Struthio camelus: one gene and its partners. Each later gene encodes a partner of the first gene's protein in a complex. Links are inferred from orthologs where the notes say so. Each region holds a gene or a part of one and is shown in the gene's direction. Other genes may lie near its edges.

What was found.
Region 2: the proteins of RGS7 (region 1) and GNB5 are in contact, whole or in part, in a cryo-EM structure (PDB 7EWP), measured with the Homo sapiens proteins. The link is inferred for Struthio camelus from reciprocal best matches to the Homo sapiens genes RGS7 and GNB5. Residues at the interface, in NP_001351815.1 of Homo sapiens: Pro19, Leu22, Val23, Lys26, Val30, Ile72, Val76, Glu77, His80, Leu81, Leu84, His88, Val207, Asp213, Ile214, Lys215, Lys216, Leu258, Gln261, Ile262, Trp265, Gln266, Gln268, Leu269, Arg271, His272, Arg273, Leu274, Lys275, Met276; in NP_057278.2 of Homo sapiens: Leu57, Glu60, Ala61, Glu62, Leu64, Lys65, Leu68, Glu71, Lys74, Leu75, His76, Asp77, Val78, Glu79, Leu80, Val83, Leu90, Phe93, Arg98, Arg99, Leu109, Lys117, Arg118, Ser134, Phe135, Trp149, Met151, Leu167, Tyr197, Ser206.
Region 3: the proteins of RGS7 (region 1) and GPR158 are in contact, whole or in part, in a cryo-EM structure (PDB 7SHF), measured with the Homo sapiens proteins. The link is inferred for Struthio camelus from reciprocal best matches to the Homo sapiens genes RGS7 and GPR158. Residues at the interface, in NP_001351815.1 of Homo sapiens: Gln35, Ile43, Ser55, Arg109, Phe110, Thr112, Pro113, Tyr114, Phe115, Lys134, Thr136, Lys140, Ala141, Arg142, Leu143, Leu145, Ala146, Asp147, Ala150, Leu153, Gln157, Trp164, Phe168, Met169, Gln170, Glu172, Ala173, Gln174, Lys176, Val177; in NP_065803.2 of Homo sapiens: Leu507, Lys508, Phe510, Leu511, Arg513, Thr514, Tyr595, Tyr598, Ala599, Thr602, Val603, Pro604, Ile714, Arg715, Leu718, Lys719, Tyr722, Leu725, Glu726, Tyr728, Lys729, Arg730, Met733, Ile734, Thr735, Asn736, Asn737.

Annotation. Positions count from the first base shown.
Region 1 is NC_090944.1:97,342,107-97,352,515, reverse strand, and holds the start of RGS7 (regulator of G-protein signaling 7), read left to right. Parts: upstream 1-6,145; 5' UTR 6,146-6,195; exon of another isoform or gene 6,196-6,568; intron 6,569-7,676; 5' UTR 7,677-7,710; coding exon 7,711-7,788; intron 7,789-10,409. UniProt on the Homo sapiens protein: GTPase activator component of the RGS7-GNB5 complex that regulates G protein-coupled receptor signaling cascades.
Region 2 is NC_090953.1:14,914,021-14,924,362, reverse strand, and holds the start of GNB5 (guanine nucleotide-binding protein subunit beta-5), read left to right. Parts: upstream 1-5,683; 5' UTR 5,684-5,904; coding exon 5,905-6,016; intron 6,017-10,199; coding exon 10,200-10,336; intron 10,337-10,342. UniProt on the Homo sapiens protein: Enhances GTPase-activating protein (GAP) activity of regulator of G protein signaling (RGS) proteins, such as RGS7 and RGS9, hence involved in the termination of the signaling initiated by the G protein coupled receptors (GPCRs) by accelerating the GTP hydrolysis on the G-alpha subunits, thereby promoting their inactivation.
Region 3 is NC_090943.1:20,055,608-20,065,938, reverse strand, and holds the start of GPR158 (metabotropic glycine receptor), read left to right. Parts: upstream 1-6,079; 5' UTR 6,080-6,268; coding exon 6,269-7,140; intron 7,141-10,331. UniProt on the Homo sapiens protein: Metabotropic receptor for glycine that controls synapse formation and function in the brain. Acts as an atypical G-protein coupled receptor that recruits and regulates the RGS7-GNB5 complex instead of activating G proteins.

The DNA of each region.
Region 1 (10,409 bases):
GTTCAGCTCAGTGGATTAGTTAGGTTAGCGCCGGAGGGATAGGCAAGAGCAGGAAATTTCAGTAGTAGCTTGCATAGCTGAACTTGGCCCTTGTAGGCTACCTGTGATGGCATAGTGCTACCATTTTAAGCAATTTCCTGATTTAGTATCTACCCCAGTTTTTGGTGTTTGTGCGGTACATGGAAACTTAGCTTACAGTTGCAGAGGAATATTGGAGAATATATATATGTATTCTTTGTATGTATATATTTAATAAGAGAAACGACCTGTGACATCTGGCAAAAATCTGTAAAATTCAGCAGATACTCTGGTATTTTTGGCATTTACCACTTGTCAGAAGCTTCTAGAAATTCTCCCTTTGCATGAACAGAAGAGGTGAATCAGATGGGCTGAGGAACAGTTCTACCTTTTGCAATTTCTCATTTTCTTCCTCATGTCTCTTCATGAACTTAAATGCATCTGCCGTGTCCCCAAAAGCCATTTCAGCAGCTTACTCTTTTTCCTTTATATGCGAGGGCCTCCCCCTGCTAACCGTGACCAAGTCCCACGTCTCATTCTGTGCTTTCTGCCTGCCCTCTCTTCTGAGCCTCTTCTTTTTTCTTGCTTACTTCTGCAGATTTATTTTTATTTATCAGTGTAGTTCTTTGCCACACAAATTACTCCTTCAGTGTCTCCCGTTAATTCTGTTATGATGTTTTTCTACAATTAATCTGTTCTGGTCTGTAACCATGGCATTCTCATACATAGTGCGCTCCCCCTGCCTTTGTAGTGCTTCCGCGTCCCCCTTTCTCTAGTATGCTCGTGCCAGAGGAATTTAAATCTGTGACTTATTCCTAATCAGTCCTTAATAGGTGGCTGCTTCTATTTTGATCTGAGTAAACACAGTCCCGTGGATCAGGCCTGAGAAATTTTCTTTAGCGGGGAAGTGGAAGGGCTAGTTACCTGGTTTGTTGGAGTTTTTTATGGTTTTAGCCACAAAAAAGTTAACAAAAGGCTACATATTTGTAACATGAGGTTAATGTCAGACTGAATTAATATTATAGCTTGAGCTAAAAGAATTATAGCTAAATTTACAAAAGCACAATTGCCATGTTTTCTTCCCATACCTCATATACGGTTGTTCAGTAGTTGGGACGCTCCTATGTGAGGCACGCAACATCTCCTAAGATATGGATATAAATCTCTCATCTGTGCCTTCCAGGAGAGTGTTGTAAACACCAAGCACCAGGAGAAGCTGAGAGCAATCCACCCATATTTAAAATAGTTTATCTAGAGCAGAGACCAATGCCCCATTCCCCTGACTCTAGGTTCATTCTTTGTCAATAATGCTTTTACACAAAATTGAAAAGCTCTCAAAGAGCAGTTTTGAGATTTGGAGAGGATTCTGGTATGATCACATCTAAACTAGGTTCAAAAAACCATCTTTTTGCTGGAGGTCAGTTCTATTGTCACATGCTTACTTGATTTCATATCAGTAGGAGATATAGATATAAGATCAGGAAAAATTAATCTTCCGTTTTTCAGGCAGTTTTAAGGGAATATGGTGTAATATTTGTCATTCTGTGAGCACTTTCTGAGTAATTGAAGGTGTATGGCTGATTATGATAGTTATTTCTTTGGAAAGAATATTAGTGTTGATTGATATTGTATATCAGATAGCTAATTAACCTCTTTCTCTTTGAGAAAGACTGCCCTCTTTTGGCTCTAATTAGAACAGGTTAATTGTCAAGACTTAAAAGTGCAAGTACTTGAGGCTGCTCTCCCCTGTCTCTAGTAGAAGCTGTTTATCCCCATGGGTAGTCCTGGTGGCAGTGTATTGATATCAAATTGTAAGTAGCTGTGGATATTCTGTGGCAGTAATTAACGTCTTCAGTAGGATATGAAGTTAAAGTTTTATGTATATATAAATCATACTCTATATATACATAGATATACTCTCTCTATATATAGTGTGTGTATGTATATCGTACTTCAGAAAAGATTTTGGAAGTGTGCGCTCTCCTTATTTCTAATACTTTGCTATTCCTGTGAAATTATGTCTGTCCATGACACTCTAGGGTTTTTGTTTTTCTGTTTTATCGATTCACTTTACATTTTTTTCTCTTTCTACATAGGTTGCTATTTAATTACCTTTTCTTTTCTAAAACTCTACTTTTTGATGTTTTGACCTTTTACCCCAAAAAACAGAGCGCAAGTGTCTTTGATCTTCATCATCATAAATCACCAGAGGTAATTAAAGTTTCAATAAGGTTGGCAGGTATGTGAAAAAACAGATGTCTAGGGCTTAAAAAATGTGCCTTGAAGGAATGAGTGAAGTTTTTAAGACAGTCCTGGGTTTAGTTTTAGCAGTTATGTGCCATAACTTGTAATCTTCTAAATGACACTCAAAGACCTATATTAAATGGACGGATTACAGTTCAGTTCTGTAGGAGCAGGTTTTCAAATCTCATCAGAAAGGCTAAGGACTGAGCTTGGAATCTTAGTTACCAGTTCAGAGCTTGGCATTGAAATGCTGCTGTTATGTGGTATCACAAATATGTCCGATTAAAGTAGAAAGCCTAATTCTGTGCTTCACTAGCCTGGAGGAAAAAAGTCTGGGTTTTATACTTGAAGGCAGCACAGTAGTAACTCATGTCAGTGTCTGGAGCCTAATTAACTAGAATGTCTGTGTTATTTCAATAAATTTGAATGTGATTGTTTATAATTCTATAATGTTTTAAAGACTTGGTCATGGACCAGGACCATGCTGTGCTGAGAGCTTTCATAATGTGTCTTTACTCCAAGGAACACTCAGTGTAGGCATAAGACAAGAGGAATTTGATGGATATAGGCAGCATATTAACATAGTATAACAGCACTGGTTAGTAGGACTTTTCAAGACTGAAAAATTCCCTCTTCCACATCCAGACAGGTTGTCCTACATATCCAGAAATAATATTCTGATTTAAAACTGCATGCCCATGTGTTACGTATGGCACACGCATATGATGTTCTTGGAATACTTTAGCTGTATTGACTGTGCAAACTAAATGCAAAAAGTGTAGTTACCAGCTTGCTAAATCATATGTGTTTTATGGCCTTGTTAGATAAAACTGCCCCTTGGCAGCCTTTGCTATCTTCTTTGTTTTATTAATGAGTAGTTTTGCTTTGCGTTTTGAAACAGGACATTCCTCTTTTGGCAGGCCCTGCTTTCTGGGGAAGCTAATACTGGCTATGTATGAGATAAGCGATGATGACTCTCAAGCATGGGAAAGATACGTGACTAATTTATGAATCTTTATCTTTTTATAGGCTATTGAGTAGATTCTTCTAACTGCATCAGAATAAGTTATCAAATTATATTTTTTAAAAGAAATAATGAAACAGCTTTCTTTTCTCTTATATGGGTGGAAGCGGCCCAGTCCAGGGTCTGTTTCATTACAAAGCACCAGCAGAAAGAAATTCTATTGGGTTGTTTCTGGTGTGGGTTTGTTTTTTTTTTTTTTTCATGTTTAGCTATTGCAGAGGTTAGAGCTTCTGTCTCATTCTAATACTGGACATACTGGTGAAATGGAAGACTCCTTAGTGTGCTTCAGCATAGGAAGCCTGTAGTTATGAGACACGCCATTGGGATGTTTGAGCCTCTGGTTCTGAATACAAGATTAAAGACTGTGTGTGAAATCAGTTACCTTTATGTTAGTGGAAGAAACACCTATTGACTTCAGGAGGTCCAGATTGTTACTTTATCTGCGTACTTGACTGAATTTACTTTGTACCTTAATTTATGATGATCAATATTCAGTTAATAGCGGAAATATATTTATTTTCGAAAAAAAAATCAACTTTGCCTAACTAATGTAACATTTTGTATTTTACTTGATTTGTGAAATTAATCAGAATATTTAAAGCAAAAAAGTAAGATAATTTTAGAAGCTGTATAGCTAAAATCTTTACTCAGATACCTCTGCCTTTAGTTTTGAACAGATTCTCAGAAAGTAAAGAACTTGAAAATGCTGCTGCTTAAACTAATAAGCTTTGCTGGGGAGTTCTTCAAAGACACATAACCCCTGCCAAAATTCACTTGCTGCGTAGCTTATAGTAAATAGCTAGATTGAAGACATCTTGTAAAACATAAGCTACTTCTTGTACATACTCCAAGAACTGCAGTACAAAAGACTTTCCTTTTCTCTAGTTTTCTGACTTGAATTAGTAATAAGATGATGTAAAGTAAGAAAACAAACTTAGAACTATACTGGAAACTTGCTAACATTTGATTTCTGTGCCCTTTAATGCATATGCTATTTTAAGATACAGTCATTTTTGGCTGGCAGAGTAAATGGAAGGAATGTATATGTATCATCACTATTTTTAGTGATTTTCCTCCTACCCCACTTTTAGGGTAAAATTGCATTTAAAGCATATCTTGTGCAATCACCATTTCTGCTCTCGGAAAGAAATGTAAACCGCAGTCTGATAAATAAGACTTTGAGTTTGTTTTGGGGTCACACAGCTATAAGGCTGTGACTTATGTTCTTAACAGATCTTGAGAGGTATGTTCCCCTTGACTTCCAGTACGTCTGTCAGTCTCACATAGTCTGTAGTAAACGAGCACTGCAGTACTGCTTCCTTAGGAAATGTATGCAAAAGTTAGGGAAATATAGATCCACATTTTTATTGCTGGTACCCATTCTCAGTGGTGGACTGGACTGAATCACCAGAGTCTGCGCAAAAACCTTTTGAAAGTTAACATTTGGATTCAGATTCATTGCTTAGGTCTGTCAAAATGCTACCATACACTGAGTGGATTTTTCATGGGAAGCAAGCCTTTTCTCAGTTCTCTGTTTATTTTTTAGTTCCATATTTGTTTCTGCCTGCTATTTTCAACCTCAGTACTTCTTTTCCTTTACTTTCCTCTTGCACTGTCAAACTCTTTCATCTGTGTTGATCTCTCTTCCCTCTCAGAACTCCAGATTTCTCTTATATCCAGACTGTTTGATTCCACTTACCTTTTCCTTGTGACATACCAAATTATTCTCCACTGAAAAGGTCTAGACATGCACTTTCTGCTACAGAGCTTCTTTCCTTTACTGTCAATATATCCCACTCAATTCAATTGCTGGTTCTTACTCTGTTGGATCATTTCACCATTTACTTCTGCCCTCCCTCAAGGACGTTCCTGTCCACGTTTGAGATCATCTGTTGTCTCTAGTGCTCACTCTGGGACCTTTATCAAACCTCTGTCTTTCTCCACTTGCCAAGAAGTCCAATCATTCTCTCCCCCTTATTTTACATTGGCTTCTGGGGTTCACTGTCATCAGCTTGTCTAATTTATCATCTCCTCTGGTAAAGGATCTGAACGCCTCTGCAAAATTTGGAAAATGGTAGTTTTGATAGGTAACTTCTAGCAAGATAGAGTTGATTTGAGGTTTCTTTGGGATGTGAGGAAGGCAGAAAGAGCCTGAGACAGTACGTATGGAGACTTCTGAGCTTGAATTGCAGTGATTCTGCCAGGGCACGCTCCGTGAGGTGCAATGCATGGTAGAAGGTATTGTCCCCCAAAATGACTTCTTTTGCGAGATCATCCTTGTAATAAGAGTTACTGTTTCTAGAAAAGACACTTTCAAATGGGAATATCTGATGGCTTACCACTGAAGTATCTCCTGTTCTTGTGGATGTTGAGTTCAAGACATTTCAGCACTTCTGGAAAATCAAAGCATTCTTGTCCCTATACGGTGAGGAAGTATGATTTACATGCCTAATTTTTAATTTCATCATGGTAAGCTCCAGGCCGTGGCAAATTAAGCAGTTACTTGGGATGTAGCAAAACAGCCCCAAGGGTATCTAGAGAGCTCCTTCCTATCAGCCTGGAACAGACTTGCTCTCTGGTCTCTCTTTTCTACTGCTCAAAGTGGTCCGCAGTGCCAGCACGACTCAAGCTCTCTCGTTCTCCCTGGAAAAAAAAAAAAGAAAAACGTGAAATGTCCAGCGTAGGGCAGAGGAGCAGGCAGATTCCCTGCTGGTGTTGGTAAAAGGCGTAAAAACGAGGAGGAGACACACTTTCCACACCCGTCTCTTTTATCCCCCTCCCTCCGCCTCCTTCCCTATCCCATTAGCCCACATTCTCTTCCTGCCCAGTCCTCCAGTGCTGCCTAATCTCATTTACAGGGGCTGCTGCCAGATCTGCAGGCAGCTGCAGTTCCTTGGCCGCTGTTTTCGGTGAGCGAGCCGAGAGCGGCGAGCAGGAGCAGGAGGAGGAGGAGGGCTGCTGCGTGGCGGAGCGGCAGCAGCACCTTTGACGTGCCTGTCCCCCACGTGACAGCCGCTCCATTGCGGGGAGGGAGCTGAGCTGCCGCCGCTCCGGCAGAGCTGGGGGGAGCCGCAGCCTCGGCGGCGGCGGCGGCGGCAGCGCCTCCGCCCGCAGTGCGCGTGTGTCCGTGTGCGTGCGTGTGCCTGCGCGCGCGCGTGTGTGATGAGCGATCGCCGCGTCCCTCCGCCTGCTGCCGGCTGACACGGACGGCGCGGGGCGCGCCAGGAGCGGCGGGAGGAGGCGAGGAGCCGCGGCCACCGCGCAGTGACCTTGGCCCGGGAGGTAAATGAGCGGGGCGGGGAGCCCCGCGGTGAGCTCCGCGCCGCTCCGCGCCCCCGCCCGGCCGAGGAGAGGGCGCCGCCGGGAGCGCCCCGGGCGGCGCCGCCGCTGTCCGCGGTGCTGAAATCGCGGGAGCGGAGCCGCGCCGCGCCGCGCTGCCTGCGGGGCGAGCCGGTTCGCGCTGCCATTCGGTGCCGAGAGGCGCGCACTGCGCGTGCAGGGCAGGGCGAGCCGGCGTGGCGGGCACGCTGCAGTTAAGCCCGCAGCCTGGAGGCCTGGGGAGGGGGGGACAGGGGAGGGCTTCGGAGGAAATGTTTGGACGAGAGCTCAGCCTTCCAGGCTCTCCGCAGCCGCGCCGGTGTGGTCGGTGGATGGAGCACATTCTTACACCTGCGTGCAAAGCCGGAGCTACGGCATGATCTGAGCTCTTGCTTAGCGCAGCTCCCGTGTGACCGGGGGGAGGGCGGAGAGGAGCCGGGCCTGGCGGCGGAGCTGGTTTTTTGCAGTGAACTAGAATGAAAGTAGGTGAAAGCAACCAGCAAGATCTTCTAGCTTGTTTCTTCCCTTCCTTCCGTCTACCTGCCTGCCTCCCTCTTGGCATATGTGTAAGAGTACAGATATGCTGGCAAATAAAGTTCAAAGCAGCTGGTTTGCTTTTTGTGTGTTTGTGTGTTATGAAAGTCTCTATGACCTGAACCGTGAGGAGAGGACAGTGTTGAACACGGTCACGGGCCAAATCAGCCAGTTGAAAACTGTGGTTTGGAAGGTGCACAATATCCATTGGTGCAGCCTGTGTAGAGGAGGAAAGAGTGCTTTGTGACAAGATGCCTGCATGATACAGTGGTTAGTGGTATGTCAGGGAGCTATGTGGAGTGGCAATTCATTAAAGTCTAAATTAGATTAACGTTTTACATGCATTCATTATTTGCATGCAGAAGAGAGTAATAACAGTGAATAGTGAATAAGCTGCTTTGCCCCAGTGTAAATATGTGGTGAAGAAAGTATACACTGATTGTGATAACCTGTTAGTAGAAAGTCAGGTCCATTAATCAGCAGTGAAGGCAGGAGATCTGAGGTGGTGTCTTATGAAGACCACTTTTACCTTTCACAGTGCAACGTTCAAAAGCGGATCAAAATCGTGGGACATGGCGCAAGGAAATAATTATGGGCAAAGCAGCAATGGGGTGGCTGATGAATCCCCAAACATGCTGGTGTACAGAAAGGTAAGCCTTTGTGTTTTGCAAAATCTGAGGAAGGGACATCAGAAAATGGTTTAAGTCCTGAATCTTTTGCCTAGCAAGAAAGGCCATTATTTTTACTGTTTCTGTCCCCCTTCCTGAAGAGATGCTGCTGCTGTGCTTTACCATGAATGTAGAGATGTGATTTCAGAACATGATTATCTGATACAAATTTGGAACATTTTGTATCTGTTGATATATATGTTACTAATGCAATTTAAATGGCATGTGAAAAGTAGATCTGTATCTGAGTTACTTTATAGACTTCTTAAAAAAGAAATTATTGGATTTGTTGTTCTGAATGTTCTGATTGTTAAAGCACACATGCATGTGTCAACTTCACATCATGTTCAGCAACAGTTGGGTTTGAATTTGTTTAAACATTCTCTTATGTTATCTGAAATGTCTACACGATAACTCTCTTCTGTACTACTTGATGTATTTTATTCACTTTCTGCATTGATGCATATGGGATGCAATGGTGGTGGTGATGTATCAGAGACTGAAAAAGCATTTTGAGTTTTTGGGGTTTTTCTGTATGTTTTTTTAACAAGTCCTCCCTGGTAACATCTATCTTTAAAATGGATTCAAATATTTTAAAACTGAATATTAGCTACGTGTTACAATATCTTGTATTTCTTTGGATAGAGATTCTCAGAGTGCAGGAAAGTCGGCACCGTTAACTTGTTTCATATGAGGGGAAAAACAGATTAAAGGTATTACTTCTCTGCAATCACCAGAACTTAAGAAAAACCATGCACTCCCGGGATTCTCTCTGCAAAAGGATTTTTAATGTAGTTATTTTAGTAGCATCGATATACAAATTTCCAGACATTGAACTCCAGTAATGGGGTTTATTTAGCCACTGTGCTTTCATTTAAGTGACAGTAAATGCTTGGGGATTTTGAGGTGGGTTGATACTTTTTTTAAACTTGGCAGTTGTGTTTATTTTGATAAAACTTTAATTGCATTTATCAAAAAAGAATAACAAAATAAATTCTAGTGATAATGGAGAAAGATAACTACTCTTACAAACTGAAATATGTTATTATGTAACTACTTGTTTATTCCTAGAGTTCTGTGCTTTTTAACTTGTTTATGGTTGTTTTTATCAGGTGGAAAAATAATACTTATATTTTGTTAGAGGCATTGACTTTTATTTTTGCAAGTTAGCTGTAACAGAAAACATCTGATATATACTCAATTGAGTCTTAACACAACTTGGATAGTAAGACAAATTGATGTGAGGTGAACTGAGTTGTCGTCATTAATTGTGGTAAGTCTTTTTTCCCAGAAATTATAAAATTGTCTCTAATTGAAGTCTGATGTATGCTTCTGCTATTCCATGTTTTCAAATACGATGATGATTTCAGTGAATTCTAATGGTATTTGCTATTTTGAAAAATTAGGCCATCTTTATGGAAGTGATTAGAAAGGAATTTAATAACTTAACCTTTGTATCCGTATGTATAAGAATGCACATCTAGAATAATACGGGGTCATCTTGCCATTAACATCATGAGTGTGTTTCAAAATGAAATTTTGTGCATGAATGAATGGGTCAAAATATGCTGCATATTTAAACACAACATACCAAAACTTAGTTGTACATTTAAGGCTTTTGATCTTTCAAAACAGTTTTTATTTATCATTTTCTGTACTGAGAAGGAACCCTCTTCTTTACTACTTTAGTATACAGAGGAAGAATGTCGAGAAACTGTGTTTGTCTTCTCCTGTGGTATCGTGGTCTGAGGAGCTGGCCAAGCTTGTGACCCATTATGTTTAGTGTGAACTCATGCCCCAGTTTAACGTTGTCCCTGAGCAGCCTCCAGATTCAAAGGAAACTTTTGAGATAAGTGACATGAACCCTGATGAATCAGGGGAATTTTGAAACTGGGAGTGAGGGCAGGATACAAAACTCCAGCTGTATGCTTAGCAGGATCAGAGCATCAAACACCTTCTCACTTCTGCGGAGATCAAAGATACAGGGATGGTACCTGCTTGTGTCTTTCAGTTTAGCAAGGGCCCTTATTTTGTTGTCGTCATTCTTAAAGTGCAAGTGGTTTGCGGACTCTTACGTTTACGAAGAACGCTGACCTTCTACAATATTACCAGTAATATTTATTTTTATCGATCTTAACTTATTCCTATAGGAAGGTAAGACAAAAGGATCATTAAATATTGTGCAGACAGATGTTAGATTACTGGGAGAAAACTTTAAATACTTCTTCCTTTAGCACTATTTGAGGAATAGGCAACAAAATAATAGCTAACGTATTTAAAAGTCACCTACCTACCTTCTGGTACGGCTGTAATCAAACGTATTATAGCTTCTGTGTCTAGAACATAAGAAAAGATTAATTAGGTAGAAATCATTTCAATTCAGAATATATTATCTCTGAATATAGTTCTTTATTAGCAACAACTACATCACAAGATTTCTTGTAATACGTTTGAAAACACAATACTTCTCTATCTGTCATTGTGTTAGGAATGAAAGCTCTGTGCTGAGTGAACAAAGAACTAGATCTGTCAGCTTCGTGAAGGACTTTTTTTTTTTTTTTGGCCAATTGAAAAAATATTAATAGTTGTTAGTAAAAAAGTAC
Region 2 (10,342 bases), on another chromosome or scaffold:
TGCTTGTGACTGTCTTGCATATAGTCACAGTTCATCAAGCTTTAATGATTAGTCTCAGAGAGAGATTATCCAGCCTACAGATGTCTATAGGCAGTCTAAGATGCATTTCCCAAGAAACACCAGGAAGCTTTGCATTAGACTGGAATGCATGCTTGCTTTCTTCTTTGTCTCTTTCAGCCCTACCACACCGCAAAGATGTGCGACCAGACCTTTCTAGCGATTGTATTTGGTCCGTGTGACAAGTGCTCCAAAGAGAAACCACTTAGGCCTGTTTACATCAAATCAGAACAACTCAGCTTCTGCTCGCTATGTGTGGAAATGGTACGTTGTTGATTTTATCAGTGAGAATGTGAAAATACTGATAAAAATAGGGGTTGACGTATCAATATTCTGTTTTGTTGGATTTTTCTGGGCAGCAAACAGGCTTCAGTAGGCAGAAAGGTTGCCTGCTTCTAATCCAAATAAACCTGATTGTAAGCACCTGATGTTAATTCCCTGAGCCTGGAACAGAGGGGGCTCTGTGCTCAGTGATACCTTTTTGATTCCTGACTGCAAAATGACCACAAGCTTTTCCCCCTAGGGTACTGCTGCGTAAATGTTACATGCCTAGCTAACTCTGCCCTGAAGTAAATGCTGGGCCTGTGATCTTGAGTGTTGCCCGTTACCTTCAACAGAACTTAACACAAGATGAAACCATGGCAATAAACTGATTAACTCGAGACTAGGGGCTATAAAGTTGGTTTAGGCTAGCTCAGTAAAACTGGGCCTGTTCATGTGCTCTCGGAATTCCTTCAGAGTCTGCATGTCATACTGAGACCATGTTGTCTTGCATGCCATGTGCAGTAGCTGGGTGAGGGATCTTTGAGAGCAGGAGGTATCTGCAATGAAGATAATGCAGGAAGAGGCTGTTGCATGGTAGATCAGGCTCTTCTGTTTACATGTCTGTGGACCACCCAAGAAGGTGGTAATGGGGAATATTAGCAAACCTGCTAACCTGACCGACATGTCCTACTAGAATACCTGCACGAGATAGAGATATGCTGGAGGCTTTCTAAGCTCCAACAATTACTGGTGAGGCAATATCCCACTCTTCTGGCAGGGAACACTGTCCCAGTGAGGTCACTGTTTTTTAGATGAAATACAAAGCTAAGGTCATGAACCTGCGTGGCCACTGAAGAGCTGGTCTCCAAAACTCCTTTTGTAGACTTAGGAATGTTTTTGTCCTGGTTATACTCCAACTTGGAGTAATTTTATTCTTCCTGAACCATTGTGTATTATCAGTTAGAGAAGACATCCTTCATTGCTTCCTCCCCGGAACCGGTCTGTACTGTTACTGAGCAGTGTCCAACAGTTTGTTGCATTTGAGTGTCAGATCAAATGATCTCTGCAGGAATATTGAAAGGTTTAACCAGCTGTGTTTAGAAAACATTGTACGATGGGCAGATGAGAGCACTGATTTGGTGGTCATAAATGGTGCAATGTGTACAGTTCAGTGACTGACACAGCACGTTCTCATATGTTACATTGTTTAGAAGGAAATTTAGATAAAACGACTGCAAGACAAAAGACAGTCCCTTCTCTATTCATTTGCTTCTCTTGACTTTGAAACTACTGTTTTGTTCAGGTCCTTCTTGGCCAACAGCCTATAAATAGCTATGTATCCAGTAAATTTTTGCGTGACTTGATAAATGCATACTGGAATTGCAGGAAACTTTGTTGTTTACAGTTCCTGCAGCTTTCTCCTCTTTCCTTTCTCTGCCTTCCATGTTATAGAAGGTAGGCTTCTACCAACAGAAGCAGCTATTGAGTGGAAGAAAAAGAGGGCTCAGGAAGAATTACCTCAGCGTCTAACAGTCTGTTAGGCTTCCTGTTAGCACCAAAATAGTATCTTGGACTTTCTGGTAGGTCTGGCTTCAGCTTTCTCCTTCATATTTATTTTGAAAAAGAGATTTTAAAACAAATACTTAAAGATCTCTTTGCATTAGCACTGAAATGCATATAGGTAGGGAAGTTAGGTCCTTCACCTTCTGGAACTAGCCTTTCAGAGCTGTGAGTATGCTTTGGCTACTAGTATCAAAATGCGCAATATGTCCTTGCCGTGCCTTTGCGGGTGTTTGTGAATGCATGTGCATAGTATAATGTGTAGTGGGCTGGTCCTTCTGCAACTACTTGATTCCACAGGTAACTCTTAATTTCAGATGCAGGTGGGACTCAGCTGCACATATGCATTTTTATCAGGCAGTTCTTGTGATTTCCCCCAAACCAACGCATGCTTCAGGAATTCACGTCCCAGTTTTGAGATTGTCTTGCTTCGATGAGTTGCCTTTTAGACAAAATCATCTTTTTCCTTTGGAGTTTTACCAGTTTTGGAGATAGATGCTAATCAGTAGAAACGCTAATGCAGTCAGTAAGCGTTTGCTGTTTTAATATCCACAGAAAGTATTAGTAAATTATCCTACAACAGATTAGCTGGTGAATTAGTGAGACTGAAAACTTTTTAAACCTGCCTTTTGAGATGGGCAACAATTTGTGTCGCACTGTTGTGTCGCACCCTCCTTTTTCCCTTATGTCCTTAATAATAGAACAGTACCAACTTTCTTGCATGCTTCCCAGTCACTGCAATCTGGTTTGTTTGTCAGGTTTGAAAGGTAGTTTACAATTGCAGTAACTCTTGGTTTTGCCACAATTCTTGGTGATAGAGTGCTTTTTCTTCTGTAGCAGCTCCACAGAGTAATGCTGTGTAGAAAGCTGACTACTCCAGAGTGGTTGCAATTGATGATTATTCTCAAAATATATGAAGCCAAGAGTCAGCTTGCCTTTGCTTTGTTGGGAGTGATCAGAGACAAAAGGCATCTTATAAGAAGCTGTCCTTGTTTTGGGAAGCTTGGAGGCTCATTGCCATTGAGGACATAGCAGCTAGTTTGGAAGCCGTCAGTTTTCCAGGGAACGCTGGTGGTCAGTATAAGGCCGCAGCAACAAACACTTTTATGCACCAGTTGTTATTGCATTGTTAATGGATGGTATCATTATATAGCACAGTTCAGTTACTTACCTCTTTCCCATAGAGTCCACATACCATACCTCCTGCAGAGGACGATTTCACAGACATTTGGCCTGCGCTGACCTGTTTTGAAACCCATCTCAAAGCACTCTGCAGAGTCCAAGTTAAGAGGAACTATATTTTATCCACTGCTGCAGGTGGATCTGCCATTTCAGATTAAACCATCTTCAGCATAATGAATTCTAACATTGTGTTCACAAGTTATTCAGTATTTATAATTACTATTTTGAGTAATTGCTCATGCATTGTTAAAAGTACATTGCCTTGAGCATGATTAGATTTTATGAAAAGGGAGAAACAAAAAAGCTTGATTTAAGCATTGTTTACTAAATGGTAACATTCTTGCTCTACCTTTTTTTTTTTTTTTTTTTGGTAGTTGCCCTGGTACTATATTATTCTCTAAATTAATCCAAGCCTGGTTCATTTTATTTAAAGCTCCCAAATGGCCTTGCTCTCACCTGTAGTTTTTGCATGGTTAGCTAATGACTGCATTGGTAGTTAAGCAGCTGGTTAGGTGAACTAAATACTTTCTATTTTACTCAGACCAATGAAATGTATGTTATATGTCACACACTTTTAAGATTCACTCTGTTCAGTAGAGACTTCCCTTTCATCTCATGGTTCTGTTCATCCCTGTCATCTTGGGACTGATATCAAGGCTCAGTCTGAACACGTGTGGTTTCCAAAGACTCACACCTTCTATATCCTTCTTCACAGAACTTTTTAATGCCATTCCCCAAGGCAGTGAGACTGCTCACATCAGTAAAGCAAGAAAGTCTGGACCTTTCACTGTCATTACTGTGCCAGCCATCTGACATACAAACATTATCACAGCGACAAATTCCTTAGAGCTGATGGGTTCCTATTAAGGCAAATAAAATTCTCATAGATTCTGTTGGATTTGACTTCTGGATCTCTTCACGCTTATCAGGTGTCAGAAGTAGGATGTTCATCATAGATGAAACTCCTTCAAAAAATCACATTTCTTCTTCAAAATCTTCCCCTGCCACGCCCTTAGGACACAGAAAAGCTACATTATGGAATTTAATGTAAACGGATTTAATTTTTCAGACATGAAGATAACATGCTAGGAGCTTCCTGACATTTTCCTGCTTCATGATGCTTTTTTTGTTGTTCTGGCCTGAGTTAGAGGATACTGAATTTTTACTTCTTTGGCACTGCCAGTGCGTTAGAGAAGATTTGCAAAGTGCTGTTTGCGTTGGAGAATGTTGCCATATTTAGCAGTATGTGAACTCTATAGATTACACTATCGCTTTTTTCTTTTGTGATACTGAACATAATTGGATCAAAATAAGTTCAGGGTTGCCTACACAGCCATCAGGCTGACGTGGTTAAGTCATACCAGTTTCTGTGGACAATATGAAGACTGGAAATGTATCCACTGCTTTTGACTCTCCAGGTAAATAACCCAGCTCCTGTTTGCAGATACATTGACTAAGAAAGCACAAGATCAGACCAAGGCTTGAATTCAGCCTGCACACTGAAAAGCTCAGGAGCTCTGCTGTGCATCCCAGCTGACAGTGGCACTACTGCTAAACCCAGTGTGGGAAAGGACTTGATTTTCTCCGGGACCCGGTACTGTGTCCAGGATGTGCCCAGAGTCTAAACAACAGCTGCAAATGCTTATTTTCATATCTCACTTTCTGCTCTGGGAACGTCTCCAGGTTGAACAATAGGCTTTTGGGTTGTCTATTTTCTGGCTAAAGGGAGACAATGGGAGTCAATATTAGCAGAATTACTCCATGTAGATCAAGGACAATTACTATAAAAAGAAGAGGACTTTTTCAAGGAACTCCCCTTCCAGGGAACAAAAAGCTGCAGGTCCATTTGCTGCGGGCTCAGTCTCTAGAAACGTGAGCTGCCCAGCGCGCCCAGCGGTCATGACGTGACTGCATGCAGCCAGAGCTGGAGCGCTGCTCCGGGTTCATGCTAACACCAAAGTGAAGGATTCCTCATTCTGTTTGGATGTTTAATACTGGCCCATTTCAAGGCTGCAGACCCTAACGTGCATATATCTGTGTGCAGGGTAAAGAGGCAATTGGTTAAATAAAAAAAGAAAAAAGAAAAAAAAGAGAAAAAGTGATAGCAGATGATTTAAAAACAAGGGCTTCAAAGCCTAGTAGAGAGAAGAGTTCACACCACCACGTCTGTCGTACTGGGACAGGGTCTGGGTCAGAGACCTTCCGGGTACCTGAGCGTCCTGGTCAGCCCCTACCTGTCGGGTGTGAGGGAAGGACGGACTGAGTTGTGACTTGCTAAGCCTGGACAGGACCTGTCTTCCCAGTGTGACATTTTAAAATGCCTTGAGGTTTATAAAGGATAAGGTTTTTTTCCTCCTTCCCCCACAGCGTGTGCAACCTCTTGGCACAAAGCAATTTTGGTTCCAAGCAGAAACCTGTGTGTTCTTTTGCACGTTTATGTGGGGAAGTGAAACCGCCGGCCTGTGCGAATGGCTTGTGCTGCCCAGCAGCCATTTGCTGTGGAAGCCTGCAGCCGCGCGGGCTGCGTGGGTGCAGCCGCGGCAGGAGCCAGGCGAGGCCAGCTCGCGGGCCGGGCCGGGCCGGGCCGGGCCGGGCCGGCGCTGCCCGCTCTGGCGGGGCCTGCGGTGGGGGAAGGGGCCGCGCAGGCGGGCGCTGGCCGCCGGCACGGCGAGCGGAGCCTCCGCTCTGGCCTTGGACGTCAGCGTGGGCAGGGGGCGGGAGTCCGGTCCGGCTCAGCTGCTCAGGCAGCGGGAGCCTCAGCAGCATCCCTGGAAGCCAGGCGATCAAACTCCTCCTCCCTGCCTCTCGCTCCTTTTCTCCCTCCCTGCTTCCTTTGCAAAGATGGCAACCGAGGGGCTGCAGGAGAACGAGACCTTGGCGTCGCTGAAGAACGAGGCCGAGAGCCTGAAGGGCAAGCTGGAGGAGGAGAGGGCCAAGCTGCACGACGTGGAACGTGAGTGGCCCCCCGGGGCTGGCCGGGCGCGCCGAGGGGCCCGCTGCTGCAGGAAGGCGTACGGCCCTGCTGCCCTGAGGCGGGGTGCAGTCCCCCGCGCCGAGGCAGTCGGGCTCTGCCTGGCCGCCCGGCAAACGGAGGTGTCCCGCTCTGCAGCGGGAGGCGGGCAGGGCCCCTCCTGTCGGGCCGCTCGGTGGTCCCGTGGTTGCTGAAGGCGCGAGGGGCCCTCCAGGCTACGCCGGGGCGCCGCGGCCGGCAGGGCGCAGGCAGGCAGCCCGGCCTCGGCGGCCTCTCGGCCCCTGCGGAGGAGGCGGAGGGCCGGCCGGAAGCGGGGCAGGTGCCGGGCTGCCCCGTCCGCAGCAGCCGGGGGGGGCGGGAGGAGGCGGGACGGGACGGGACGGGACGTGTTTCGCCCAGGGCGTTCTGCGGTTGATCTGCTTCGCTGTAGCGCGCGTCGTAGTAGGAGAAAGAGAGGTTAAGCCTCGCCTTGTGCGAGCTGGTGGGAGTTTACTTCAACGAGGCCAGGATTTCACCCAAGGTGTATGGCTCAAAAAGGTGCACTGCTTCCTCTTCCCCCTAGGGAAACAGCGTACAGCGAGCCGGGGCTGGGTCAGAGGGGCAAGGTGAGCCCATCCTCCAGCGGCCGCTGCTTAGCTCGCTGTTACCAGCTGCAGTTTCAGGATGCAAGGTTAACGTGGACAGAGAGTTCAGCCTCCCCTGCCTCCGATGCAGGATAAAAATAAGTTAACCTTATTTTTATAGAACTCCTCAAATACATATGCAGTCGCCTGAGATGCAAAATCACCTGAGGCACAAAAATGCTTTTTATTTTGATTATTTCATTTTTATAATTGCGATGACGCATTGAAATTCTTTTTTGAGAAGATGTGTGTAAATTTCTGTATTCCTCTGAAATCCTATGGCTCGTTTTATTAGCAATTTTAGTAGGTCATTACAACTTTTATTTCTTCCATTTTGATGCCTTAAATATTGAAAGGGAATGTGAGTCTGTGTCTAGTGATTTAGATGTCAATGTTTCCTAAGACCGAAGCAAATATTCCTAAATTTTTTGGGGGGGAGGATGTTAAAAGAGATTTGTTTCTAGAGTAAATAAAGCATTTTCTTGTTTAAATTGGATAATCATGTGCTATATCAGTGTTCTCTTAATAGAAATCATTAAATAAATGGAGATGGCTTCATTACATAAATGTTACTGAAAATTATCATAATCCTATGTAATGAATGTAATTTCTATTCCAGAAGTAACGAGGTCTCTGTTCAACAGACCACTTAAGCATATGCTTAAATCCAATCTGATCAGGAAAGCAGAGTTTTATCTACGATTGCAGTGATACTATAACTGTGCGTGTCATGGTAGGCAGTCATAGGATATTTACGTCTTTCAGTCATATGTGAAATCTGTAAAATTATATTGGAAGACTGTATTTACTTATCCATGACGTGATTTCTAAGGCAAAAGTCTTACACTACTGCAGAACAGTGGTCCCTCATGATATTTTATATCATTGATCAAAGCTTTTGGACACATAAATTGTTCCCAAGAGCTATTTCTATAGAGGTTAGAAGTTCCAGAATAAAGCATTTCTTTCTTGTTTCCCCCCCCACCCCCATCTAAAATTATATCTTTGACATTTTTTTAGTCTGATCATGGTTTTCCTCCATGGTTTCCAAAACAAACAACCAGCTGAATTAGGACTGTCCTTATTTGTTCAACTGGTTTTGAACTGCAGCTCTCAAAAATGCGGATGGAAAGAGCAAATAGCAAAATACATTTGATTTGCAATCCTACGATTTTAAGGATACACTTCTATCACTTAGAATTTCAGGTATAGAAAAAGCAGCTTCTTTTGTTAATGTGATCCATAGATTTTTAAGGCCAGAAGGGACCGTTAGGACCAGCTGACTTCTGAAGCAGAAAAGATCAAAGACCAATACCCAATATTGTCTGCAGCAAGTCCACAATTTCTGTTCAGGCCAAACCATATGTTTTAGAAAAATAATCTGTTTTATCTGGACCTTTGTAAAACTACTCGAGTTACTTGTTGACATTAGCTGATCTGCTTCCCCAAGTGCATAATTTTTAACACTGTTTTGAAACTATTGGAGAATGCTTCAAAAAGATTATCTGATTCCAAAATCTGTGCTAGGCGGGTGGAAGGTTATTATGGCTGTGGTTGGAGATAAGCGTCCTCAGAGAATCAGTAAAGCTAAAATAGACAGTTCCACAGAGTCTAGGTTGCTTTGACATAATGGAAACACTGCCTATTGTCTGTGGAACGTTTGTTTTTTCAGATATTTTCTAGAGACAAACATCTTTCCAGCTGCCACAATAACCTCCTATCCACTCTTTTCAGGTCTTTCGATTGGATCATTTAGCAGGGTTCAGTGGGCAAAGGGAGAAGGAAAATGTATCTTTTCCTCAGTGGGCTTATATGGTACTTTCTCAGACCTTTTTCCTTGCTCCTGACCCCTGTTAAAGATGATTCTTTAATGGACAGGAACGGTGGATAGCACTTGTCCCCTGGCTGAGTGAGTAGAAGAGCAGAGATTTCAGGTGAGAGCCTTATGCTGACACGGTTTGCAGGGCTGGCATTTTTGGAGAACATCTATGGAAAAGCTAGTTCATTAGAAATCAATCTCTGATTTAAGCAGAAATTGCTCGCCTGACCCTACGCCAGGGAATAATCTCAAATAACGTTAAGGATGTCTGTTCTTTTGCTGTGACGGCGCTTTCCAGCCCGTGAGCTTTCTTGTAGCAGCTCTAGAAAAGTGACAAAGGTGTGACGCAGCAACATCGCTCTGGAGCAGTCACCTGCCAGGCGGGGCGAGAGCTCAGTCTGCAGCGCTGTGCTGGAAAGCTTAAGCTTTCCTCCACCGGCTTGTTAGAGCATTTAAGCTTCTGACTTCATTTCAAATGGTTTGGGTCAGGCATTGGCCCTTTAGCTAACAGCAGCTGTGTCACCTTAGGTTTTAGTGTGGACAAGCGCACCACAGAGCGAAGGGCTGGATCCTGTTAGCTCCTCTCTGGAATGAGTCATTTTAAATTCTGGTGCCAGCGTCTCCAGCCCCTGCCCCAGGACCTCTCCTCTGCTCTGAAACTTGAGGCAACTTCTGCACTTCATGTGTGTGCTTCATGTGAGGTGTGTTAGAGCAGTCGGAGCTGCCGTGGGCACCAGGACATATTGTGCCCCTGCTCAGCTCCACATTGAATCAACAGCAAGGGAGCCGGGCAAACTAGTTTCCTCAGATGGTGCTTTCCCCAGATGTGCACAAATGATCCCAGCGTGAGGCAGCCTAAGTTGTGTCTGCTGCAGTGGAGTGAATTTTACATCAAAGTGAGTTTGCACAATTGGAAATTGGGGTGGGGGGAGGGGAAGGAGTCAGCATATCAGCTGAAAGTACTGCTATTAAATGAGATATGAAATAACTAACTTCTCCTGCAGAGGTTGTTACTCAGGAAAGCTGCTTGCCTGCCCTCTCTGTTTCTTTCTCATAAAAGAAAATGCTGACCTACCCAAGAAGGTCTTCAAGGCCTGTAGACGCTGTTTGGAAGTCGGGCAGTGCACTCTGTAAGAGAGCATTGAGCTTCTCAGCTCACTCGGAGCCGTGCCCTGCCAGCCAGAGGCCTTCCCCGATGCCACTGCAGAGCAGCCTGCAGTGCCAACAGCCATCCTAGCTGCCGTGTGCCTGGGACTCACACCCAGAACAAGGGTCTTACTGTGAAAACCTTGGAGATTTGGTGCTCGCCCCTTCTTTTCTGTGACTTTCCCTCCATGACCCAGTAGCTGTCTTCCCCCCTACTTGAGTACCACTGGGCACGTGTTAGGCTGGACATGCTCTTTCACGCCTCAGTCAGACTGAAGATTTCCGAGTAAGAGGGCAGAAGGGGGCTGGGTCAAATATTTTCTAGCTATGCTTGGGTATGATAGTTTGTGAGAGGTTCAGCTGCAACAACCCTGAGTTAGTTCATCCACATCCCATACACTGCTCGCCGTGGCATAGGGCCTTACAACCTGTCAGCTCTGAAACAGAATTCATTGGTTTACGCCAGAGACTGATACTTCATGGATTTTTTCCTGCAAGTAACATTACTCAGGAGGATAAATGGTTTGCCAGGGCAAAGCTTTGATACGGGTCTCTTCTAGCAATCAGTCCTTTGCAGTTCACCAGGTGGCAGAACGCGTGGAGGCGCTGGGCCAGTTCGTGATGAAGACCAGAAGAACCCTGAAGGGCCATGGAAATAAAGTGCTCTGTATGGACTGGTGCAAAGACAAAAGAAGAATTGTGAGCTCTTCCCAGGTATGT
Region 3 (10,331 bases), on another chromosome or scaffold:
ATATTTAGCATGAGGCTTTCATAAGCAAGCTAAGGAAGTATTATGTAGGTGGGTCATGAAGTGGGTAAGCAGTTGCCTCAAAAGTCTTTCTCAAAAAGTAAGTATTAGCCATGCACTATCAAACCGGGAGGATGTTTCAGGTAGTTTTCTGCAGAGGTCTGATCTCAGCTTCATTCTATTAAATATATTAATGAACAAATAATGAACACATTGGATAATGAAATAAAGGGTGTGCTCATAAAATCAGCAAATCACCACAACAGACAAGGAGATAGTTAAAAGCATTTTCAAGAACAGGACTGGAATTAAAGATAATCCTGAAAAATCAGAGAAATGGTCCAAAGTCAGTAAAAGAAAATTCAACAAAGACAAGTGCAAAGTACTACCCAGAGGAAGGAGACATCAAATCCTCAAATAAAAACAGATAATGGATAACTAGAAAGCAACACATTTTGAAAGGTTATGAGAATTACAGTAGATTACACACTCAAGTACTGGTCAATACTGTAGTGAAGGTGAAAAAGTAGGCAAATCTCAAAGTCGGTATGTTAACAGAGAATTTTATGTAACTTGCAGAAAGTAACTATTCTATAGCAGAAGGCCTTACCTGGAACACCCAAAGAAATAGCCTAACAAAACAGAACATCAAGGAGACAACCGCAGGACCAGAGACAGTTTTAGAAAACAGAGCCTGTTAGGAAATTTGATTTATTTACCCTAAGGAAAAGAGAAAAAGAAGTAAGTCAAAGCAATCTTTTGCAGATAGACACAAGTGCGTGGTGCCTGTGCTGCACGAAGAAAGCAGAGAACCAAAGACAGTAAAGAAGACTTTGACCATGTTACAGGAATGCCCTCACCCCATAGTTGATGCTAAGGCAATGAAAGCCTGGGACAAGGTAAGTAGGGCAGCGGTGGAGTCCTCTGGACCAGAAGTTCTTTGAGAGAAAGGTAGATAAACGTCTGCTAGGGATGGTCTTGACGTATGTCATCCTGCCTCCACGCAGGAGTGCTGCACGAGGCAGTCTCCTTGTGGTTCCTTCTATTCCAACATTTCTGAGAAAATATCAAAGGAAACAAACTTTTAAAAGAGTTTTTGATAGAAGTATCATTTGCCATTTCATAGATAATATGCATAATTTATTTTTAATTTGGTGTGTAAACATATCTGGCCTAGTTCAGCTTTGCAAGTGTTTTACTGGGATTGTAATGAAATTTTCTTCATGTCCTAAGAACAGATGATACATTCACAGGGCTATCAGCTACACTGATTGCTCTGAAGTTCTCATTCTACGTGATCAGTAGTTGACAGGTAAGGTCTTGCTGCTCTTATTGTTTTCCAGCAAGAACCTTTGTACTCTGCATTTTGGCTATTTCATAGTTCTTTTTTTCCCGAAAAAAACTGGGTGGTGCTTTTGATTCATTTGTGAGTGGAAGCAACAGAACTAATGAAGCCTGGCTAGTGGATTTGTGTTCACTATCATGCCAGCCCTCCACTGCAATAAACCTAGCAGTTCTCCCAGCCCTCATATCCTCTATGCATTGTACATTAAAATCTCACAGTGCTGTGTCCACTACCAACATTTTATCCAGTTTTCCCTTGTCTTTTTGAATTCCCTAGCCTTCAGCCACATCCTCTGTTCCTTGTCTACTGGGTGGGGAGGAAGCAGAACAAGCTGTAGATGTTTTAGGGTACATTTATGTTTATTGGCTAATATGAGTGGTCAAATGAAAGGCCAAAGAGAACATGTAACAGTCAAACTCACTCTGCAACTTTCCCCTGAGTGCAAAAACTAACTTGAGCTTCTTTCTTTGATTCATTTGTGATTTTCACTAAATTTGTAGAAACTTAGTTTGAGATCTTCACACTTTAGTAAAATTTGGCTGAAATCAGCTAATGGCATTAGAAATTACTGGCAGACAGGGGGACCCAACAGACAGACAAAAATATGATTGTCAGAACATCATGTCCTTAGGAAATAAAGCTAAAAGTAAATGTGCTTTTATTTTTTAAAAAGCCCAACTTTACATTTAATGTATTTTTAATACATAAGTGATGAGTTTAATAAACATTTCTGTTTTTCCAGAAGAATATAATGTATTATTCTCAAAGTTTCAGCTCTTACTTTATTGCGTATGCTCCCTGCATATTCAATAAATAGCTTAGGATAAAAATAAATAAAAATCTGAGTTTTTTAATTTCACAGCTACAAATAGTCTTTCCTTTGCTCCAAATGGTCTTAACAATGCAACAGTTCTGACACTTCTAACCTTTCAAATAGTTCAGACAAACTAAGGTCTTACGTATAGGTCAAAATTTGGAGAAAGAAGGTTACAGTTACTGTGAACTATTAAAAACCACTAACATGCTATTTTTTCTACACCGTAATTAGACTCAGGCTGAGCTCATGTGGCATGAGCTAATTGGAGACTTACAGTCTGACAGGTAATACAGTCAATCAACACCCTTTATCTACAGCTATTTTGCATGCAACATTTGTGATAGTTGTCATGATTCAGAAATGCGAAGGACAGTGATCAGATGCATCTTGATTCCTCATTGCTGGATGGCTTGAAGCAGTGCTGGTGGGAGAACTGAGGCAGAAGCCCAGGAAACATCATTCAGCCACAGTGATCCTGTATCTCGAGGACTCCAAGTCCATTTTCACATTGAACAGTCACACATGAACAGATTTCTAACACAGTCAACCAATTACAAACGACAGGCTAGACTTATCAGTGCATTTTAATACTAAAATAATAAAAAATAATTTAAGGTTCCTACATCCCATTCCTTAGTAATATCATGTGAATAATTTTTTAGTAGTTTTTCATAATCTAAGAGGACACAATCTTTCCATATTGCCAATGTCTTGGGTCTGGGCAATGAATGCTATGCTTTGGTTCCTGCAGCATACTTTTTACAAAGGTGTAAGTAGGTGCACATTGGCAATGGCTTAAAACCTGCTTGAATCTTGTTTTGGCCTTGGCCTGCATGCAATAGCTACCTGGGAGCAGGTCTGAACTGGCTGTAGGAGGAAGCTGCAGAGGATGAAGGCTCCTTGAACCCTCTGTGATGCAGCTTTGCAAGGCAGAACCACAGGCCAGGCCCGGTCAGTGCGAAAGTTCTCCAGCTAGCCTCTCATCCTCCTCTGTGACTTGGCAAGGCAGAAGACCCAACCGCTGCAAACCGAGGGAACAGGAAAACGAAGGACAGATAACGCAGTGGCAGGAGTTATGCTCTAACCCATTTGGTTCCTTGTTCCTGGCAAACCTTTGTGATAAGAACAACCTTTGTGCTGTCCCTGAAGGAAAAGGGGGCTGGATACCGCTGGGGGAGGGTATTTGGGAGAGATCAGCAGACTGAATGAACGTACTGTGTACGTACATTAAGGGATATTTGGTTGCCAAAAGAAGATGTGAAGTAGGCCATTTAGCAAGCCTAGCACAATTTACAGAGATATAAGTCAGGGTGCAATGGGAGAAGTGAATGCCCATCAGGCAGCTGACCTTTCCTTTAGAGCAGTCTGTGACAGGAAGGGAAATCAGCACAGGCACTGTTAAAAAAAATGCTTGTTTATTTACATTGCCATTGATAGCTCACCATGCTACTTATCCCATGTTGGCTTAGCTGAGCCCTGACAGCTGCTCCTTTCAAAAGCGGTTTCTCACTTATCCATAGCGGAACAATGCAACTTTAGGTATTTGCTCAGTGCAGACTTTGAAGCACTGACTGCCTGTGCTGTGCTAAAGTGTAAACACCAGTTTCCGAGTTGCTCAGTATATGCAGTTTCTAAATAATCTTGAAGGATATTCACTTGCATGAGAGTTCATTATTAAGTGAATAGTCTTAAGCAGTGAATATGATCTTTCATTGCATACAATGAGAAAAAAATTTAAAATATTTCTAATTTTCTCCCTTACCAACAACCTAGGTGAAAATAATTGTTAAAGGTGAACCACAGCAAGGATGAAGTGTGTTACATTACTAGGATATATGGACTACAGGTTTAATTAACATTTAGCTATATTAGAAAGACTCTTCCTTTAAGTATAGTTTCAAATTATTCTAAAATAAGACTATGCTTTAAGGAGCACACATATCTTGTCAGTGGTTTAAAATTAGATCGAATATTCTGCATGACTGAAACCTGCTCAAAGGATGTGCACGCACACGTGTGTGGGAGAGAGAGAGGAAAAAATCGATTCTCTACTACTCTTTTCATCTGTACTCTTCAATACTGAAAGGGAGTTTTAGATTAAGCCACAATGAAATTAACTGTATTTAAGTGATTTTGTTGTGGATGATCTCCTTAAAAATTTGCACTTTGCAATCTGCCTCCTGTCATCAATTCTTAATCCAATAATAAGATATCAACCAGGTAAATACTTCCATCAGAGAAAATGTACAAAGTTAAGCATGTGCTTTAACGCTTTGCTCAGCTGATCACGACAGCCCCATAACTGATGGCTTACACGGACAATTTTAATTTTAATTACACCCTCAATACATTTGGGTCTTTCCAAAGGCTAATTTTTCAGCAAAACACGATAGCTAGGTGATCTGTCAGGTCTGCTTGGACTAGGAGCAAGTGCTCTGCTGGTCACAGCACGGAAAACCCCTGGATTAAGTGCTTAATTTTGAAGACAGAAGTAGGAATTGGAACTGCGGAGCTAAAAAAAAAAAAAAAGACAAAACACCACGGAAAGCAAGGAGGATCAGCGTTACAGAAATACAATTAGCTGGTCATTCACTGTAGATGAAGGGACACCGCAGCGGTTCAGCTGTAAGCACAGGGGGCAACGCTCCGTGCGGGCGAGTAGCGCTGCGGGACGGCGTTTCCGCGTGGGGCTGCGCGCGACGTGGGCGAGAAAGGCGGCAGCACCCGCCGGAGCTGGAGCTGAGACTCCCATCAGGGCCGCGAGCTCTGAGCCCCCAGAAGTTGAAGCTGTTGCTTCACAGCGCAAGGCCGGTCCCGGGGCGGGTGGGCGAGCGAGCGGGGCCGAGGCCTGCACCCCGGCCCCGCCACAGGCGCCAAGGACAGTCCCGCCGCGCGACAAGGCGCCGCTCCCGTGACAGCAGCTAGCCCACACGCCTCGCCTCGAGCCGTAGCTGCCTTCCGCCCAACGGTGGGCTTCTCCCGTCCCTCCCGGGCGGAGTGGGAGGCGCCGGGATTTTTAGCGTCGCGGTTCCCCCCCCCCTCCTCCCCGCACCGCCGCGGCCGCCGCCCGCGGCTCCCGCCGGGCCCCCGCGGCACGTAGGCGCCGCTGACCGCGCCGCCGCGGCCCGGCCGGCAGGTGTCGCTGTTCCCCTCCCCCAGGGCGAGCCGGGGCCGCGGCGCCGCGGGGCGGCTAGCGGGGACCCCGCGGCCGGTGGGTGGGTGGGCAGCCCAGCCCAGCCGGCTCCACTCCGCTCCGCGCCTCTCCGCGGCCCGGCGCGCAGCGGCTGCCGATGTGGCGGGTGGCTCGGCAGGGCCGGGGCCAGGTGAAGCGAGGTGCCTCGACGCCTGCGGGCGGTGGCACCGCCTCCCTCCGCCCCGTACGGCGCCTTCCTCCCGCCCCGTGAGTGGCTGCCGGCTGACTGACAGGCGAGGCGGCCACACAGGGCGGCAGCTGCCTCGCGTACACCTATAAGGGCCGGCGGGGAAGGGGCGCCCGGCAGTGAGGGGCTGGCGGTGGCGGAGCCCCCTGGCTGGCAGCCTCCCTCCCGGGCCGGGCGGGGGTCCGTGTCCCGCTCGGCGACCCCAGCGCTCTTTTGAGCGGGCGCCCAGAGCAGCGCTGCCCGCATCGCCCCGGTCACCCCCCCCCCCGCTCCCCCGTGCCGGCGAGTAACGGCCGAGGCGCGCTGCCGGCCCCCTGCCCGGGCGGCGGCGCCGGGAGGATGCGGAGCGGCGGAGGGCGGGCGGCGGCGGGGCGCCGCGGGGGGATCCGCCGCTGCGCCGGGCGCGGGCGCCGCCGCCCCTGCCTCTGCGCGCGCCGCGCGGCGGCCCCTCAGTGAGCGCGGTGGCCGCGGCGGGGACGAGCCGAGCCACGCGCGGGCGCCGGGCGGCGGCTGCTGCTGCTGCCGGCGCAGGGGCTGCGAGCCGCGCCGCGCCGGGCAGGGCCGGCGGCGGCCCCGCCACAGGTGACGCGGGCGCTGCGGGTTGTTTTCCGCCCTGCGACCGCCGCTCAGCTGCTGCTGTGCGCGTTGGCTCCGCTGCGCCGCGGCTGCATATGCACAGCCCATCTTGAGTGACTTCGCCCTGCCTGCGCGACCAGAGCGCCGGGGGACATGGCTTTGCTCCGGCTCCTTCTCCTCTTGCTCCTCGCCCAGCCGGGGCTGGGGGCCGCCGCCGGCCAAGGGCAGGCGGGGCACGGCCGAGAGCGGGCACTTCGAGGGAAGCAGCCTGTTCACAACCACATCAAGAGCCGGGATCCTCCCCCGGCTCCGCGGAGCCGCTCCACGGAGAGCACCATCTTGGCGCAGCGGCTGGCCGAGGAGGTGCCCCAGGACGTGGCCTCGTTCCTCTACACGGGTGACTCGCGGGAGCTGCGGCGTGCCAACTGCTCTGGCAGGTACGAGCTGGCCAGCCTGGCCGGCAAGTCGCGCTTCGCCTCGCACCCCTCCTTGCACGGCGCCCTGGACACCCTCACCCACGCCACCAACTTCCTCAACATGATCCTCCAGAGCAATAAGTCGCGGGAGCAGAACTTCCAGGAGGACCTGGAGTGGTACCAAGCCTTGATCAGGAGCCTCCTGGAGGGGGACCCCAACATCTCCAAGGCAGCTATCACTTTCAGCACGGAGCCTTTCTCCTCCACCCCCCAAGTTTTCCTGCAGGCCAGCAGGCACGAGAGCCAGATCCTCCTGCAAGACTTGTCCTCCTCGGCTCACCGCCTGGCGAACGCCTCCGTGGAGACCGAGTGGTTCCACAGCTTGAAGCGCAAGTGGAGGCCGCATCTGCACAGGAAGGCCCTAAACACGGGCCCCAAAACTTTGGAGAACAGCTGGAAGAGGCGAGAGAGCTTCACTGCTGATAAGAACCACATCAGGTGGTCGTCACCTTTCCTGGAGTGTGAGAATGGGAATTACAAACCCGGCTGGTTAGTGACTCTCTCGGCAGCTTTCTATGGACTACGACCAAACCTGTTCCCCGAATTCAGGTAAGAGTTGCGCTCCTCTCTCTCCGTTTCCTCTTCGGAAGCGGGTTGAATGGCGTTTCCACTTCTGAGCCCCTTTCAGAGGGGGTGAGCTGTGTCTCTGGAGTGACCTGATCGGCCCTCTCCAGACTGGCTGCTCAGTGTCGCCACAGGGGGCACAAGGCTTTCCTTGGGGTATGGCCTTCCTGTTGAGCTTTACCTTGGTGTGTCTTGGGGAGCTGTTGCTCAGTGAAAGAATTGCTTTTATTTTAGTCTGTAAAACGCTATGTTCTTTAATTGCTCTCACTGGAAAAGGTGTGCATGTGGGTTATGTTGCTAATGTGCTCCTGTGGGGAGAGGAGAGCAGGAGTTGCCGGTTTTAGTTTATTTCTGATTGTAAGAGGAAGATAACGCATCGGCAAACGTTTCTTACTACACTGCATAATTAAAACTGGCGTAACCCCAGCTATGACTTTAACCAGCTGGGAAACAATATTATTGTACTGTAAACTGCAGTTGTTGATCTCCAGAGCACATCTGCTGAGGGGGGCTCAAGCCTGGTCGATGTATCTGTAGGTAAATGTATGTTATGCAGTTCTACCATACTGCATATGGTTACAGCCTAAACTGGTAATAGGAAGGATTTTCTTAAGGTATTGTCTATAGGGACTCCCCCCTCCCCCCAAAACTATTATGGCCCTCTTGTATAGTTGGTGCCTGGCATATGTAAAGGTGCTTGTTTTTTACTACTGTTACCCCCAGGATTTAGCCACTGGGCTGCGACTAGTGAAGAGGAGGATATGAAAAGGCCCAGTCTCATGTCCTGTTATTTTAGCAGCAAAGAACTTGTAGTGGATGGGTTGTACTTACTCTTTGGGCGGGATTTTGTATTTTTGCGCCAGAACTTTTGTAGTGGGGGTCGTGGATAATTCTGTTTATTGAGGATTGTCCACTGCCCTAAGGTAGTCAGTATTTTCCAGGGAATAAGAGATGAGCACTGATTTTGTTCTGTAGTGGGATGCAGTGGTGGGTGAATATAGACAAGAACACAGCAAAACTGAATGGATTTCAGTGGACCTAGGTGGCCAGGCAGTCACCTATATGAGCATTGGTTTTCTTGGCTTCATCTGAAATCCAGTGGGATCAAACAGGTATGAATGCAGTTATGCATCCTTGCGGGGGGTGGGGGGAAATCTGTTGATTAGAAAGTGGCTCCTTATCTCCCTACAGAATGGTACAATTTCCACACTTGTGGAGGCTGGTAGGATTAGGGTAAAATGACGTCATGTTGAAGGTGGTGGTGAATTCCTCTCGAGCAAAAATCAAGAGGAATTGCGTTTCTGAACTTCTCTGGACCATAGTCTGGTCATAGAAAAGTTCAGGAAACTTCTCATAGTTTTTGCAAAGCAGTGTTTTACGGGTGATGAACTTCTGGGTGCAGATGAATGCTACTGTAGCATGGCATTATCTTGTTGGGTATACGTTTACTTAACCTCAAGCACTGCCAGCTGATTGGAGACTGCTGCCCCACCCCCAGCCTATCTGAGAACTTAGATCTTCATATAAAGCTTAACTCAAAGAAGCTTTGCTGTTGACTTCAGTCAAAACAAGAGCAGGTCTTAAGCAACAGAATCTAAAGCTTCAACCTCAGCTCTGTGCCAAGATCCTGTGATGCAGAAAGCATCTTGGTGATGTTTTCCACTGTAGTAGCTCTGTCCAGTGCACGCAAGGTGCCAGGACCATTTTGGAGGACAAGCCAACTGGTCACACAAGCCAACCAGTAGAGGTCCTCCTGGTCCTGGTACAAAGTCCTTTACTTCGTGGTCTTCCCGGCCTCTCTTTACCATATGGGAATCACTTGACAAAGTATACTAATTAACCTGTTGTAAATCAAATGCTTTCAGGGACATCCACTAAGCATGCCTAGGTTTGGAGATCCTTTCTTCATTTAGAAGCTCTTGCAATGAGACACACAGCAAATTTGAAGCGCTGCTTCAAATATTTTGATTTTGAAGCTACTTAAGAGTTAAGACAAAACTAAGTTTTGCTGTATCAAAACCAGAGATGAAACCAGGTATGGTAAGCATTTCTAAGAAATGAGGCAATATGTTTTAGGTCACTGTATAAGGAAGGAGGTAGAAGTAGTACCCATATGCTTGCTTTGGCAAGGCCAAGTGATGGTTTCTGTGCTCCTTGTCTGAGGTACGTTGCATGGAAGGTGGCCTTGTAGTAAAAGTTCACAGGAAACTATTATTTGGGATTTTGGGGAAAAAAAGTAACTTTACAGCTGTATAGAAAATATTGAAAATCAAATAAACCTCCTTGAAGACTCGTAGGATGTTTTTTTTAATCCCAATTTGCTTAAATATTTGCAGAATATTTTCCATACTCAGTAGGGCACAATTAGGCAGCCCAAGCCTCAGTGTGAGTTCCTAAAAGAAGAAATGGATTCAAATATAAAAACGTAAAATCAAATGAAAAATCAAATGGAGTCATTAGAACATTAGTATTAATCATGCTAAGATGCCTCTCAAAATAGGTTTTATTTCACTTTGCCATCTGGTTTTGAGTGAGACAGTGGTTTAAATCTGCAATTCCTGTTTAAGGCCCATATGGTAAAAAGTGGTATGTATTAGTCTCCATCTTTTGAAAAAGCTATGTTGATTCTCCCAACAAAATGTCTCTGAGCCATCTGTTAGGAGCGTGTAAACTGAAGCATTAGCATGCTCCTTCCATTTAATAGTCTGGCATGAGATCATTGATAGTATAGTGCATGGTCCTTTAATATTCCTCTAACAGTTTATGTACCTTCTTCTTCACTGGCATGAGGTTTATTGCATAATATGCTAGGGCAAGAGACATTCATACACTACTTTTCTTGATGGAAGAGTTTTTTTCAGTTTATAGAAGGAAAAGCCATTGCATCTACTTTTTGGTATATCTTCCATTGCAGTAACAGATGGATGTGTCACATGGTGTAGTCAGAAAAAGTTTAATGGAGGAAAGACTGATAGTTACTGCTGGTTTTATTCAATACTTGTCACTGTTGTGATGCTGCTCTCAATGGCATTCTAAAAATGCAACCAAAAGCCAAAACGTTGTTCTTTGCAGTCTGCAGGTGGAATCTGCAACCTAGCAGGTCTATATTATTATACGGCTCAGCACTCTGACCTGTGTCATAGGAAGCGTGCCTCTGTAGAGAATCACAGGAATTT